Linked DNA regions of Oryzias latipes. The protein of the gene in region 2 binds, or shares a complex with, the protein of the main gene of each other region. Links are inferred from orthologs where the notes say so. Each region holds a gene or a part of one and is shown on either strand. Other genes may lie near its edges.

What was found.
Region 1: the proteins of serine/threonine-protein phosphatase 2A 55 kDa regulatory subunit B alpha isoform (region 2) and arpp19 are in contact, whole or in part, in a cryo-EM structure (PDB 8TTB), measured with the Homo sapiens proteins. The link is inferred for Oryzias latipes from reciprocal best matches to the Homo sapiens genes PPP2R2A and ARPP19. Residues at the interface, in NP_002708.1 of Homo sapiens: Lys18, Gly19, Ala20, Asp23, Asp24, Asp29, Ile31, Thr45, Asp47, Gly49, Arg51, Val53, Phe55, Val73, Thr76, Gln78, Glu81, Pro82, Glu83, Phe84, Leu87, Lys88, Ser89, Glu91, Glu93, Tyr178, His179, Asp197, Leu198, Asn221; in NP_001293124.1 of Homo sapiens: Lys42, Pro43, Gly44, Ser46, Phe48, Leu49, Arg50, Arg52, Leu53, Lys55, Lys58, Tyr59, Phe60, Asp61, Lys75, Pro93, Asp97, Leu98, Pro99, Pro103, Leu105, Val106, Ala107, Ser108, Lys109, Leu110, Ala111.
Region 3: the proteins of serine/threonine-protein phosphatase 2A 55 kDa regulatory subunit B alpha isoform (region 2) and fam122b are in contact, whole or in part, in a cryo-EM structure (PDB 8SO0), measured with the Homo sapiens proteins. The link is inferred for Oryzias latipes from reciprocal best matches to the Homo sapiens genes PPP2R2A and PABIR1. Residues at the interface, in NP_002708.1 of Homo sapiens: Phe84, Leu87, Lys88, Ser89, Leu90, Tyr178, His179, Asp197, Met222, Glu223, Leu225, Thr226, Glu227, Val228, Tyr337, Asp340, Phe343; in NP_612206.5 of Homo sapiens: His81, Ser82, Ser83, Arg84, Leu85, Ile88, Lys89, Glu92, Arg99, Glu100, His103.

What each region holds. Positions count from the first base shown.
Region 1 is NC_019864.2:15,338,521-15,342,229, reverse strand, and holds arpp19 (cAMP-regulated phosphoprotein 19), read right to left. Parts: upstream 2,172-3,709; 5' UTR 2,013-2,171; coding exon 1,968-2,012; intron 1,489-1,967; coding exon 1,363-1,488; intron 1,274-1,362; coding exon 1,103-1,273; 3' UTR 525-1,102; downstream 1-524. UniProt on the Homo sapiens protein: Protein phosphatase inhibitor that specifically inhibits protein phosphatase 2A (PP2A) during mitosis. Inhibition of PP2A is enhanced when ARPP19 is phosphorylated.
Region 2 is NC_019870.2:24,073,745-24,078,332, forward strand, and holds the start of serine/threonine-protein phosphatase 2A 55 kDa regulatory subunit B alpha isoform, read right to left. Parts: upstream 3,023-4,588; 5' UTR 2,718-3,022; coding exon 2,711-2,717; intron 526-2,710; coding exon 457-525; intron 1-456. UniProt on the Homo sapiens protein: Substrate-recognition subunit of protein phosphatase 2A (PP2A) that plays a key role in cell cycle by controlling mitosis entry and exit. Involved in chromosome clustering during late mitosis by mediating dephosphorylation of MKI67.
Region 3 is NC_019868.2:26,636,518-26,640,774, reverse strand, and holds the start of fam122b (protein FAM122B), read right to left. Parts: upstream 2,960-4,257; 5' UTR 2,147-2,959; coding exon 2,022-2,146; intron 1,933-2,021; coding exon 1,854-1,932; intron 1,781-1,853; coding exon 1,727-1,780; intron 1,500-1,726; coding exon 1,456-1,499; intron 1,382-1,455; coding exon 1,327-1,381; intron 1,280-1,326; exon of another isoform or gene 1,130-1,279; intron 1,071-1,129; coding exon 969-1,070; intron 184-968; coding exon 98-183; intron 1-97. UniProt on the Homo sapiens protein: Acts as an inhibitor of serine/threonine-protein phosphatase 2A (PP2A) activity. Inhibits PP2A activity by blocking the substrate binding site on PPP2R2A and the active site of PPP2CA.

The DNA.
Region 1 (3,709 bases), on a different chromosome or scaffold from region 2:
AGTATTTGGACGGGAAGAAGGGTGGGGTTGCTCCACGGCAAATGTTCAGGCCAAACCTCAGAAGCGAAATTCTACTGAACTATTAAATTTTTTTTTTATTATTTTGGCTTAAAAAAAATGGCATCTTCATAATTAAAAGACCACTAAAAATGGTTTTACAATGGATCAAAAGATAAACAGAGTGGGTCTTTAAGTAATGCTTCTCTACAAAAATACAGTTTTCCCTAACTCCACCCACTATAACCACCGCTTTTGATACTTGTCAACTAGGTAGACCTCAGTTTATTATCTTAGTCATAAATAAATAGTTACTTCTGTTGTACTTGTGCAAAATACGTCTGACTTGCAAATTGTCATATACATATATTTTAAAGACAGAATTAGTAAAATATTAAATCTGACAATGAAGTAACTAAAGTATCTTCTTAAAACACTGAAAAAGGTCCCAGTTGTCCTTTGCCAGCACTGCAGCCCTGCAATTTCAAAACAAAATTTGCAATAACTGAACACAAAGACCATCAAATGCAAGATATTATGCAAAACTATTTTATTTACAAAACCAATGGCACAGTTTATATGCACAGCCAATGCACTTGCACACTATAAACATGTTCTGGGAAGTTCTTCTCATAAAATTGTTAAGCATTTCTAGTCAGAGAAAGTCACTTCAGGCAAGAATCAACAACACAAATTCTCGCTGATGGAGCAAATATTGCTCAGGAGCAACAACGGTTTCACTGCTTTAAAGGTCAGTAGATTTGAATGAGATGGAGCGCAAAGCAGCAAGTCATCGCAAAAAACAATGTTGGGGAGCATGAAGTGGACACAACTGGCTAAATTTCACTCGCTTTAAAGCACACAATTAAATAAAACCACACAATCAGAAAAGTACATAACGTGGACAAAAGAGAAGAATTGTGAAATTTTTCCTGTAGGAAATTTTAATGAACTACTCGATTCCTCAATTAGTAATAAACACAGGAACGTATTTGGCTTAATAAATTTTGTTCTTAAAGCCGAAAGCAAAACCTGAAGAAATGTAAACGGCATGCAGATATAAAGTGAAATATGGAATGGTAGCAAAACAGTGAAAGTAAAACCCTCAACCAGCAAGTTTGCTCGTCACCATGCTGGTCTTTCTGTGAGGCAGATCCTGAGGCGTTGGGATGTGCCCCCCTGTGATCTCAGTCTTCTCTGCTGGGGCAGACGGCAGCTGCTTGTTCTTCATTTTTGCCTTGGCCATATTGTAATCACCAGAGTCAAAGTATTTTTGCTGGAAACAGAGATAAATGCATATATTAGAGATCCGGGGCCAAAAAAAAAAAAAAAGGAGGAATGGAAGGAGTTGAATCCCAGACTCACCCCTCCTTTCTGAAGTCGTTTCCTGAGAAAATCTGAGCCCCCTGGTTTGGCTCCAAGGTTGGGATACCTGGCCTTCAATTTGGCCTCCTCTGATTTTTCTGGACTGATCACGGTTTCCTCCATTTCCTGTTGGAGGGGGGTGGATCCGACAACAACCAGAAAATCTTTTTTAAAATTAGGCATGAACCTGGTTTAACATGAGTTAAGTCAACGAGATGTTATTCTGAAAGATGCCTCTGAATGTGAGGAAGAAGTCAGGAGGGAAAGTAAACATAGATGTGCAGAAAGCTAGCATTGATCTCGAGGCAAGCTAGCGTGGCTAACTGTAGCAGCAGTCATTGTTAGCTTTTTTTCTTTAAATGCACCACTCAAGTTTTATTAGCATCCACCCAAGTCAAACAATCTAACTTTAACCTAAAGTCAACAAAAACCACAAAATTGCTCAAATTACAAACCATATTTTTATTTTACATTTCTGACCAGCTAAGCAACACAAAGCTAGCCCACAGGCTAACTTTGTTACCGCCTGCTAATTCTCCCCGATTTGAACAGCAGCTAGCTACTGAGTTAGTATAAAACATGTCTCCGCTAGAATCTCCGTTAACCTGCTGTTCGTCTGAAGCCTTCGTCTCGTCATTTTCCTCCGACATCGCTGCCCCGATAGCCTCGCTGTGAGCGCTCAGATGAATATGCAACCCGTGGGTCCGCTTTAGTGATTTGTGGAGGATGTGACTGTGAGGCAGCAGTTACCCCAGCAGCGAGGGCGGCAGACAGCCTGTCACTGTCACGCACGCAGGCCCTCCTCTCCAGACAGGACGCTAAATCGAGACCAGAGACTCATGCGGCACTGATCAGACTGATCTGATCACTGTGGTGGATTATTTATTTAACCGTCATTTACAAAAAGAAAGAATAAATGATAAACTTGAAATGGTTGTTTTGGAATGTATTTATAAATATGCGCACTTACCTTTCTCTATATCTGAAATGGGGCCTATTTTATAGCCAAGTTGTGTTAATGTTCTGAATATCCTTTATTTACAATACAAACTTACATGTGCAATGCAGAAAATGTATAAAGCGAGGGTGCATAATCATACATAATAGTCAAATCTAATTACAAAAACTATTCCTAGAAAAGAAATCTAAAGTATAGCTGATATTAGGTTTTCTATTCTTAATTTGAGCTTCTTTTAGATAAGGGCTCTGCAACCTGCGCCTCATGTGGCTCTTTTAACACTCTGCTTTGGCTCTCGGGCTAAAAAAAAACAATTTAAGATAGTAATTCTAAAAGTAAACCTTACTTAGTCATTGATAAAAAAAGAAATGTATGGCTGAAGTCCTTCTATTGCAGTAACATTAGGCGCACAGGTTTGTAATCCTGAACAAAACTTGAGTAAAATGTCTGATCTTCTGCATTAGTTAGTAAGGAAAAGGAAAAACATGACAACACTCAAAAGTGGTTTAACAAGAGAAAAAAAAAAGTGTCTGTTCAAAAGTCGTCATTGGATTACATTTCCTGCAATGGGACGATCTTTTTTTGCTCAGGGTGTCTAATTATAAAAGGAATTTATAAGACCCTTTGTTAAAAATTATTATAATTTTATATTTAGAAAAACTTTTGTGTATGTATGTATGTGTGTGTGTGTCGTAAAATCTTCTTCAAAGGCTAAGTAAGACTGTGGCTCCTACAGGGATCAGTGAGAAATTGTCCCAAATGGCTCTTTTGCAGATCCCTGTTGTAGAAGTTATCACAGTGAAAATATGTTTACTAAGATCTTTCATGACAACCCTCAGCATTTATCCAAACTTGGGACCGCCACATTAAAGCACTGCACCTGCACTTGTGGATGCATTATTTGGCTTCTTGGTGTACACTTAAAATATTTTGTGTATTCTTACCCTTTTTTTTCCAGAATAAAACCTTTACAGATACTGATCAAATCAGGCAAGTAATTCATGTTCCTGGCATTTCTGACAGATATATCAGTCATAAAACTATGATACCCACTTGTGAACATTGTGCGGGTCTATGGGAATCACGATAAACTAGATCCAAAAAGCTATGAGAGCAAAAAATAGCTTTCTAATAATTTCAGAATCTAGGTGAACTCTTAATTCCCTCTTCAGACGGTCCATGCCAAACACCATTTGGAAGATTCCCCTCCTCTGTTAAAGCAGAGTACATGCAAAGCTCCGTTTCAACATGTGGATGGTGAATGGTTGGCAAAAATGTTTGGGTTTGAAACAATGCACGAGATGAGCACTACCAAGTTATAAATATTTGTCAATAAATTATTTGGGGTATTTATCAAACAAACTTTTCTCAGTTTTCTGTAGGCATATT
Region 2 (4,588 bases):
GCAAAACAGTGTGTGGACACATTCCTTTTATCCATCGCCTATATATGATATAATTCCATAATCAATATTGGAAAAGACCATTTGGATTGAGCCATGATAAGTTTGTGCATTACAGCAGACAGTACACATGTGATGCAGCAAAAAATGATCAGTCCATCATTCTAGTCCAACGTGTGGAAACAGAGTTCTGCAAAGACATGTGACCACTCAGTGTGGTAGAATGTTCTAATCGTGTTCCTTTTTTATTATTTTGATGTTGAAAACAACTTTATGACAATGTGAATGAATTTGCCATTAATTCTTGATCAAATCGGATCATTTAAATTGAACAAATATACACTATGACTCGTATCGCAACTACAAATGATATGAATCAAATAATTGTTGAAAATAAATTGTTATACCTGTATTTTTAATTTTTCTAAACAAAACTGTATTTCAAATGGTTCTTCGTACCTTCAGCGACATCATCATCGATGGCTCCTTTCACCTGAGAGAAGCACCACTGCATGTCACCTCCAGGTGCTGTGAGAAGAGAAAAATGAGTGGATTATCTTCAGTGACTCTTCTTGCCGTCTGCTTCAAACACCAGAATGACTTAACTGAAGAAGATTTTATTGACTTAATATTGCTCTAAACCTAGTGAAAAATGCTTTTTAAGAATGACACACTTCGTTGTCATCTGCCAAGGAGCAAGACAGAATTGAAAGTGGCCAACATGCCAAAGTGCAAGAAAATCATATTAAAAACCAAAAAAGTACAAATCCATACATAAAGGGTGACTGGGTGTTGACAGTATCATTAAGGAGCCTGATGGAGCATGGGTAAAAACTTTTTCAAGTCTGTTGGTCCTGGCTCTGAAGGACCTGCATCTCTTCCCTGGTGGCAGCAGTTAGAACTTGTGCTCAATAATATTCATGAATTACTTCAGAAAAGATCAGTGTTGGGACCTGTCTGAGATCCAGGGTCTAACAATGATTCCACTGACCATTACCGCAATATTTTAATGATCATACGTGCACACATGCACCACCACTTAGGTAGAAAACTGTGCAGCATCTTTTTTAAGAAAGTGATCATTCACACAGAATTTTCAAAATACACGCAGCCAGAGCTGACTTTTTCTTTGGTTGCACGGACCCGGATGAAGGGTTAGGATTAGGTTAATACACGCGACCAACCACAACATTTAGACTTGGCCGTACTTAAAATTTGTGCCGGTAATGCAGGAATGTGCATCTGTCCGCTAAACATGCAGCCAACATGAATTTCCATCAGTTTTTTGTGTTTGGTCCCACATAAATATGTGCAAATAACATAAGCTATATCTTAAAACATTAAGATACACCACTATTACTCGAGACAGTCTACACCTGCAAAACCAGTTCTGTTCCAGTGAGTCAACTCACAGCTATAAAACTACATGATCTTTTAATTACAATAAAAGTGGGTGCAGTCAGTAACTGCTAGACTGTTCTCTTCATCTTAGGTCTTGTAGCTGGTTAACAGCGGTCATGCTGAGGCCTGGTTTAAGAGGAACTCAACATACATGAACAATTCTGGCACTGCAATCATTGTGGCCACTTACAAAACTGAAACCGAATGTTTCCAACAGTCACCTTAAAGCAGGTTGACGTAGCAGCACATACTTTAACAGAGTACATTTTGTAGGATAAACAAGCCCAAAGGAAGCAGGTACAATCATTTCTGTGCATACACACCAGAAAGAGTCAAAACACTCACTGGAGGAACAAAATATCTCAAATGTTTTATTGGGGAGTCTTGTGCAATGCATTTGTCTAAAAATGTGAGTCACTCAAAAAATGGACGACGTGCAAGCATTCCACACTTTCCATGATTGACGTTTCTGCTATGCCTTTAAAACCAAATTTAAAATCAAAGTCTGCTATAGGGGTGGGGGGTGAGGCCCCCCCACCCACTGGAATCACAATACTTCGCTACTAAAGTAAAGCTAACAAATGAATGAAAAACATCGCAGAGAAAGTCTGAGCATTCTCTACAGATGAAATGGTCGTTATCCCGCGCCTCTTGTAGCCTTTGAAGCAGAAACTGCGTGAACATTTCCCTCAGAGCTCAGTGGGCCCGCCTGCTAGCCTGCATGTGAGCAATGTCAAAGTTTGCGCTAAAGCTAGCAATGACGGCTTGCCAAGCTAGCCGATGCATGTTTGAGAACTGTGGCGCTACTTTGAGCTTGCCCTAACGTTTGGGTTAATAACTCGCAGCCTTGTGTGTTGTTATTCCATTAAGAGGTTTGCACAGAAGTATACCAAAAGAAAACCTCCGTGTACGAGCGAAATACTCGGCCATTAGCTACAAAAACTTAACACTATTTCATGCCGGTGCCACAAAATTATTAACAGATTTGGCTAAACTGCCATGCATATCATTATCAGGTTAGTAATGCAACCTATTTGTGTAGATAACAGCAAAACAGCTGTAACGGTAACTGGTAAGCTAGCTTTAACCGGCAAATGTTTCTGTTGTTGCGCGAGGACAGTCGAGTTCTGTGAATAGCTTAGGTTAGCACTAGCCAAGTTCGGCTAACTAGCTATCGTTAGCTAAAACAGAAATGAACTGGTGGGTGAATAAAACCTGACTCCCGGAACGCAGAGACGACCAAGAAACGACGTTTTAACAATGAAAAAAAACATTTTTTTTCAGAACGTTTAACACAGTCCAGACGAATTACCTGCCATGGCGAGACAGACAGTGGAGCTTGCCTCAGTCAGTTGGTCACGATCCTGCTTCCCACTCCCACGCGCTGATTCGTGGGATCTTAACTTTTTTTTCCTCCCTCCCCCCCCTCCTCCACTCAGCCTCTGTTCACCGAGCAAAGCAGAACAATGTGTGTGTTTAAGTCAAACTGCGCGGTTCGGAGTTCCCGCTCGTCTCTTTGCTGCTCCTGGAAACATTCACTCCCCCGCGGTGGTGCTGGTGTCTCGCGCTCTCTTGCCGCCGGCTGCTCCGCATCCCAGAAGTCAATTCTTCAAACTCCCCTCGAGTCTCTTCCGCACGTGAACCAAACCCTCTTTATAATGTGCACGCGCATGACGGATGTTTTGTCAAAGATTAGAAAGGCCTAAAAGCAGGGCTCTGCAACCTTTAATACTTAAACAGAACCAAAAAATATGACTTCATCGTTTAGAAAAAATAGGACACCGATATGTATTTATGTTATTGTTATGATAAACATAATTTTTTTTTGCATACAAAAAGATTAACATACAGAGAAAATATATATTTTTCAAAATATGAAATAGTTTATAACTTTTGACAGAGGTTGACATGACATCCTTTCAAAATAAAAGACACCCTGAGGCCTCATAATCCGGTGCACCTTAATTTTGGTTTTGCTCACTGACCTCCAGTTGATTTTCTGTGGTACATGGCGCACAAAAATCTGGCATAACGTTTTCGTTCAACCTGTTAATGCGTACTGTTCTTCAACTGTTTGTGTATGAGGTCATTTAAGTCAGTTTGCTTTTTTTCTTTTTACTTTACAGTTACTTATTTAAATTAAAAACGTTTTATTTTTCTGTAACCAGAGAGCCAAATTCGTTTTGGAGCTTCAGTCAGCAGACATCTGGATTAAACCAATGGTCACACTGACCTGTTTGATACTTTTACTGCTCCGTTATACTTTAGCATGTTCATGCTTAACATTAGAAAAACTAAGTTTACTGCAAAAACGTCTTTGATTGCATTTAATTAACCTGCAAGATATTTAACAGCTAAGTTTAAAAGTTTAAGATAAATTAGCAGAAAAAAGTAAGTTTTTAAAAATTAGAACTGGTCTGATGGTATAAAATATAATATGCTAGCTGAGCAAATTAAATACTTTAAATAAAATATATAATAGAAAAATTTAAAACCTAAAAAAGGTTTAGCCTTGACCACACAGCTACATTTTTCTGGTCTCAAAAGTCAGATTTTTGTTGTTGGTAATGTTGGCTTTGTTGCCCCTCCAGATGGTTCTACTAAAAATGTGAAGGTGGTTCACAAAATCTGCAAAATCGAATTTGTTTTTAAGGTGAAGTCGTTACCCCCAGAAACCCCCCACAATTATTAATTATTTTTCAAATATAAATATACCCATCACAAACCTTTTTACCCATTTTCTTTGTGAAATTGCAAAGTAGGATGAATCAATTAAAAACTCAAAAGGAATTTATAGGTTTAAAAACTTGGAACCCATTTGAAAAATACAATCTGCTGATGCTCTTACTTTTTCCTCCCCATGTTTTTAAGTTTCTAATTAATAGGAATATGCTTTGTATTTTTCTTTTTTTATACGTGATTTCTTACTGTGGGTCCTTTTTTCTTTTTAATTTTTTTTTTATTCATAAACATCATACAGTATGCAACAAAAGTGTGAATGTCAAGGGGGGAAAAAAAGTACATTTTCAAAAATTACATTGGTTGAAATTGCATTTTTGTGTTTTTTTCTTTTTGTTTGATGATTACCATGTTGCATTCATTCGTGCAAAAAAGGTTTACAATGAAGTTTGAAGTTTTCCTTTTATGAACATGCAATTTCCCCCAAAAACGAAATGATTGTGTTATTAAA
Region 3 (4,257 bases), on a different chromosome or scaffold from region 2:
GCCGGAAAAAATATATATCGGCCCATCCCTAATTTGTTCTCAAGAAAAAGTCAAATCTAGGGGGAAAACAACACTTTCAGGTCCAGCGAACACTAACCTGAACCTGCGCGTGGGGCTGGGTATCGGGCTGGGCGTCAAACCATTGCAGCTCACCAGGATTTGGAGCGAAGGAGAGAAACACTGCTGCTTGAAAGACAAGAACAAGAGGTCAAAGAACAAATATTAGGAGAGCCATTAAGAATCTGTCTGTAAATCAGTAGGATTTGTTCTGTTCACAAATAAACAACAAGCACATTAAAACTTAGTAGTATGGGGCCTTTTGTTCTGCTTTACTATTTGTTTGATTAATTAATCTTAGTCTTTCGTGGCAATCCTTTATATCTATTTTTTTTGTATTTTTTACAGATATTTATATATATATATATCTTTCATTATATAGCAAAATAATTCCACAATGAACTTGTCCAAAAAGACACAATTCCGAGTGGTAAATCTGTCCCTTTTTTGCTGAAAAAAAGTTACAAATATTGAGATCAAACATTTTATGTTTTAGAACAAAAGATCGAACAAGTGGAGGCAAAATAAAAATATATACCGGTAAATCCACAATCAAAGCAAAGACGAGGTCAAAACAATGTAGAAAAATATCTAAAAACCAGGCAAAGCTCCTCCGGAGAAACAAGAATTTATTCCAGGAGGTCTTACAGGTATGTAGCATAACTTTTTTTTTTTAAACCAAACATTTCAAAGCTACAAACTTTTTAAAACCTTCACATTGAATTTTGAAGGAAAGCTACGCTAATGAGGGGTATGGATTCCTTCCTGCGTCAACAGCAAATGTGAGTCCAGGGACTACTGAGGGTTAAAAAGACAGGTTCATGTCCTCTTTAAGTTCAGATTTAGGCCAAAAGGAGCCTCGAGTTGAGATGGGTGACTTTGCCAAGATGATTTCTAAAAGAGCACGGTACCTTCTTTCCTATCCCTCTGGTTGGGGACGGGGCCGGCGACACAGGCACAAAGTCAACTCGCTTTGGCGATGAAGAAGCCACTTTCTCCAAATCATTGTCACTCTGAGAAAACAGCAACACATGACATGAATGAAGGCAGCTTGAAACATACATGCTTTGGCAACTGTGGGAGTTTTATACTACCGACTCAGTCTGGCCTTGAAAGACTGGTGGCCCTGTTAGCTCCCGAATATTTCAGCGTTAATCTAGCATGTTTTTGCTTGACCCCCCTATTGTCACGGACAGACGGCAAAGAGGGCCAAAACATGCACCGAAGTCCATCATTACACTGAAAGTGTGGTTAGAAACTATCTCTTACCAGACTAAGACTTTCCTCCCAGGAGTGGCTCATTTGCATGGCAGCTTGAACTTCCCTGTGAGAGAAAAATATTAAAAGATGAGCTTAGAAACATTGGATTTTGACTCAAAAACAAGCTGTAGAGCTCACCGTTCATGAGCAGTCTCCCTGTTCATAACGTCCACTCCCTCTTCCTGCAATACAGAAAAATAGATAAGAAAACTCATTCATATCAATACAATCGTCAAACTTTTCTTTTTTTGTAGGAGTTTGGTACTACCAGTTGATCATCAGATCAATGGTCCTTTTAACTCTAGTGTTGCTCTTGCATGTTTTTAAACACCGTTAACCCTCATAATCAAAGGGAACCGGTGGTCTGACATGCTCACTCATGCACTGGGCAGTGCCCTCAGGCGCTTACTTGTTTTATTTGGTGGAGTCTGGTGCTGGGGACACGGATGGGTGACGATGGGACCTGTGTGTGGACGCGAAAGTTATTACTGTCGCTTCAAAAACGCTGCAGACAAATGCCAAGTGCAGAACTGTACCATGTTGGGCCTGTTGACAACTGTGGTGCTGTTTCTGCGACTGCGCAGAACCTCTCTGTGGAATACCTGGGAGTTATCGCTGCAAATGACAGATGGAGACCTGTTTGTATTCTCCCATGATCCAAAAGCAAGCACGTGGGCACACTTAGAAAGAAATCAACGAGGAACCTCAAGCCATTGATCATGGGAGCGCTGTTGGATCTTCTCAGATGTCCGTCGACCTGCACTAAGGAGGATGGGATCTCCAGATCCAGCTCCATCTTTTCTTGGGGCATGACTCCGGAGTTGTTCATGTTCCTGGAAGGGGCCAGTCCGTCACCGATCCGTGAACGTCAAATGGCCGACTGGTTCAGTAATGCCACATTACTGACGTCCTACCCCAGCTGCTATTACATGATTAAAATGTGCTATCAAACCGGGATACAAAACCAACGACAGCAACTCACAGAGGCCCCCCTTCGTCCGTATGGGCGCACGAACTAAAGAGTTTGACCATACAGTGGGATACTAATTTTAGCGCAATTTACGGCGACGTCTAAAACAGCCTGTGTTATCATTACACGGAGTGCTACAAGTAGTCACAACTTTGCAGCGTGATGGCTAGCACGCCAAGGCTACATACCACACAATGCCCGTTACTTAGTCTGCGAGGCAGAAGCGGTTGGCGAGCTACAACTTCATGTTAGCGCCTTAAAATGAGCTAGCGCTAGCCAAACTAGTCAGGCAGCAGCATTCAGTTAAACCAAATTTAAGCAACTCTAAAGCGCAAACATTGCTTTCAAATGACGAGCATAGCTTCTATAGCTAACTGCTTACTGTGAGACTGAGAGCCGAAAGAATGGTTCAGCCATAACCAACAGCAGTGAAACCTAGCCCAACGAGCTAGCATGCTAAGCTAGCATTGACCCCAATAGCTTCAATACATATTCTATGGATGGATCGAAGCTGCGACACAGATTCACTAAACATTTTTATCCGTAAAAAAAATTCTTATAGAATTAACTGAGCTAATAAGTGTAGTGAAAAATTCCCCAAATTTTATGTTTCGTTTCTGCGAGCCGCCAACCACGAATGAACTAGAATCCCAGATCACACAGGAGCTGGCAAAAAAAAAAAAAAAAAAAAAAAATCCACGCCCCTTTTTTTAATGTTAATGTCCAATGAAAACGCTCCATTTGCCGGCGCGAGGACATTCTGGGACCAAACCATGGAATGTACCAAGCACTGTACCTGGAGGACAAATATTTCCCAGAAAATCATCGATTACGCCACATTAGTTAAGCTTTACTCATTAACTGTCGTGTCCATAAAACAGATATATCTTTTTTTAAAATAAAGTGAGGATGTCCCCGTCAAAAAAAATATATAAAAATAATGTAATAATTTGTTTTATTTGATAAACACCCAGCTTTTATTGATATAGTTGTTCAGCTGTTTCAACATGTTACATTTCTAAAGCTAATTTTGCATTTAGCTTTTTACGCTTCTTTTGCTTAACTTTAGTTGCTAACTTTTCACAACAATTTATAAAGCTAATTTAGCATCTAATTTATGCATCTGCAACTTCCCAATGAACTGTTCGTTATTATAACGTTTTTTTTTATATTTCTCTTGCCAAACATAAGTATAAAGCATTTAAGTCGATTTGTTTAACTCATTCAGCATCAAATTTTTACATTAGCATTGCTAAACTTTTAAAACAATTATTTTAGCAAATTAAAAAAAAAACAATTCTTGTGCAATGCTGAACATTTATAATTTTTCCAGTGATTTGTTCTGCTTTATGTTTGTGTCTGTTATCAGACAGGTTTAAATTTTCCTATATGTTCAAATCATATGGTTTGCTGTCAGGTTATTTCACATCAATTTGCTCAGCTAATTTAGCTTTTGCTACACAAACATTGTTTTTATATTTTCTAAACCTTTATTTTCAAAATCGTTTACCTTTTTCTTTTGCCAAAATCACGGAGCCCCTAAAGGGTAATTGAAGGAAATTTTTTTTTAACTTCAATTGTTTGTTTGACCAGTTACTAACAGCCATTAATACAAATAAATGGCTTTAGTCTGTCGAAAGAATCCATATGCCAAATATAATTTAGACCCTTTTTTGAAACAACCACATTACTTTAAAACTCGTTTAAGATGACGTTCAGAGATGATGTAATTGTGACGGTACGCAGGCAAAGCTGCAATCTCTTTGTAGACAAGTCAAAAAGCAAAGTAAAACTCAATTAGCTCACAGAATGCCATTTCCAGGTAACTTGGGAACATTTCTCTGTGCGCAAATTACCTAGTAACAGTTGTGCAGCCGTTACTGACGGGTGCGCAGCCGATACTGACTGGTGCGCAGCCGATAGTTTTTTATTTTTTTCCTTCAATGACCCTTTAGGGGCTCTGTACAAAT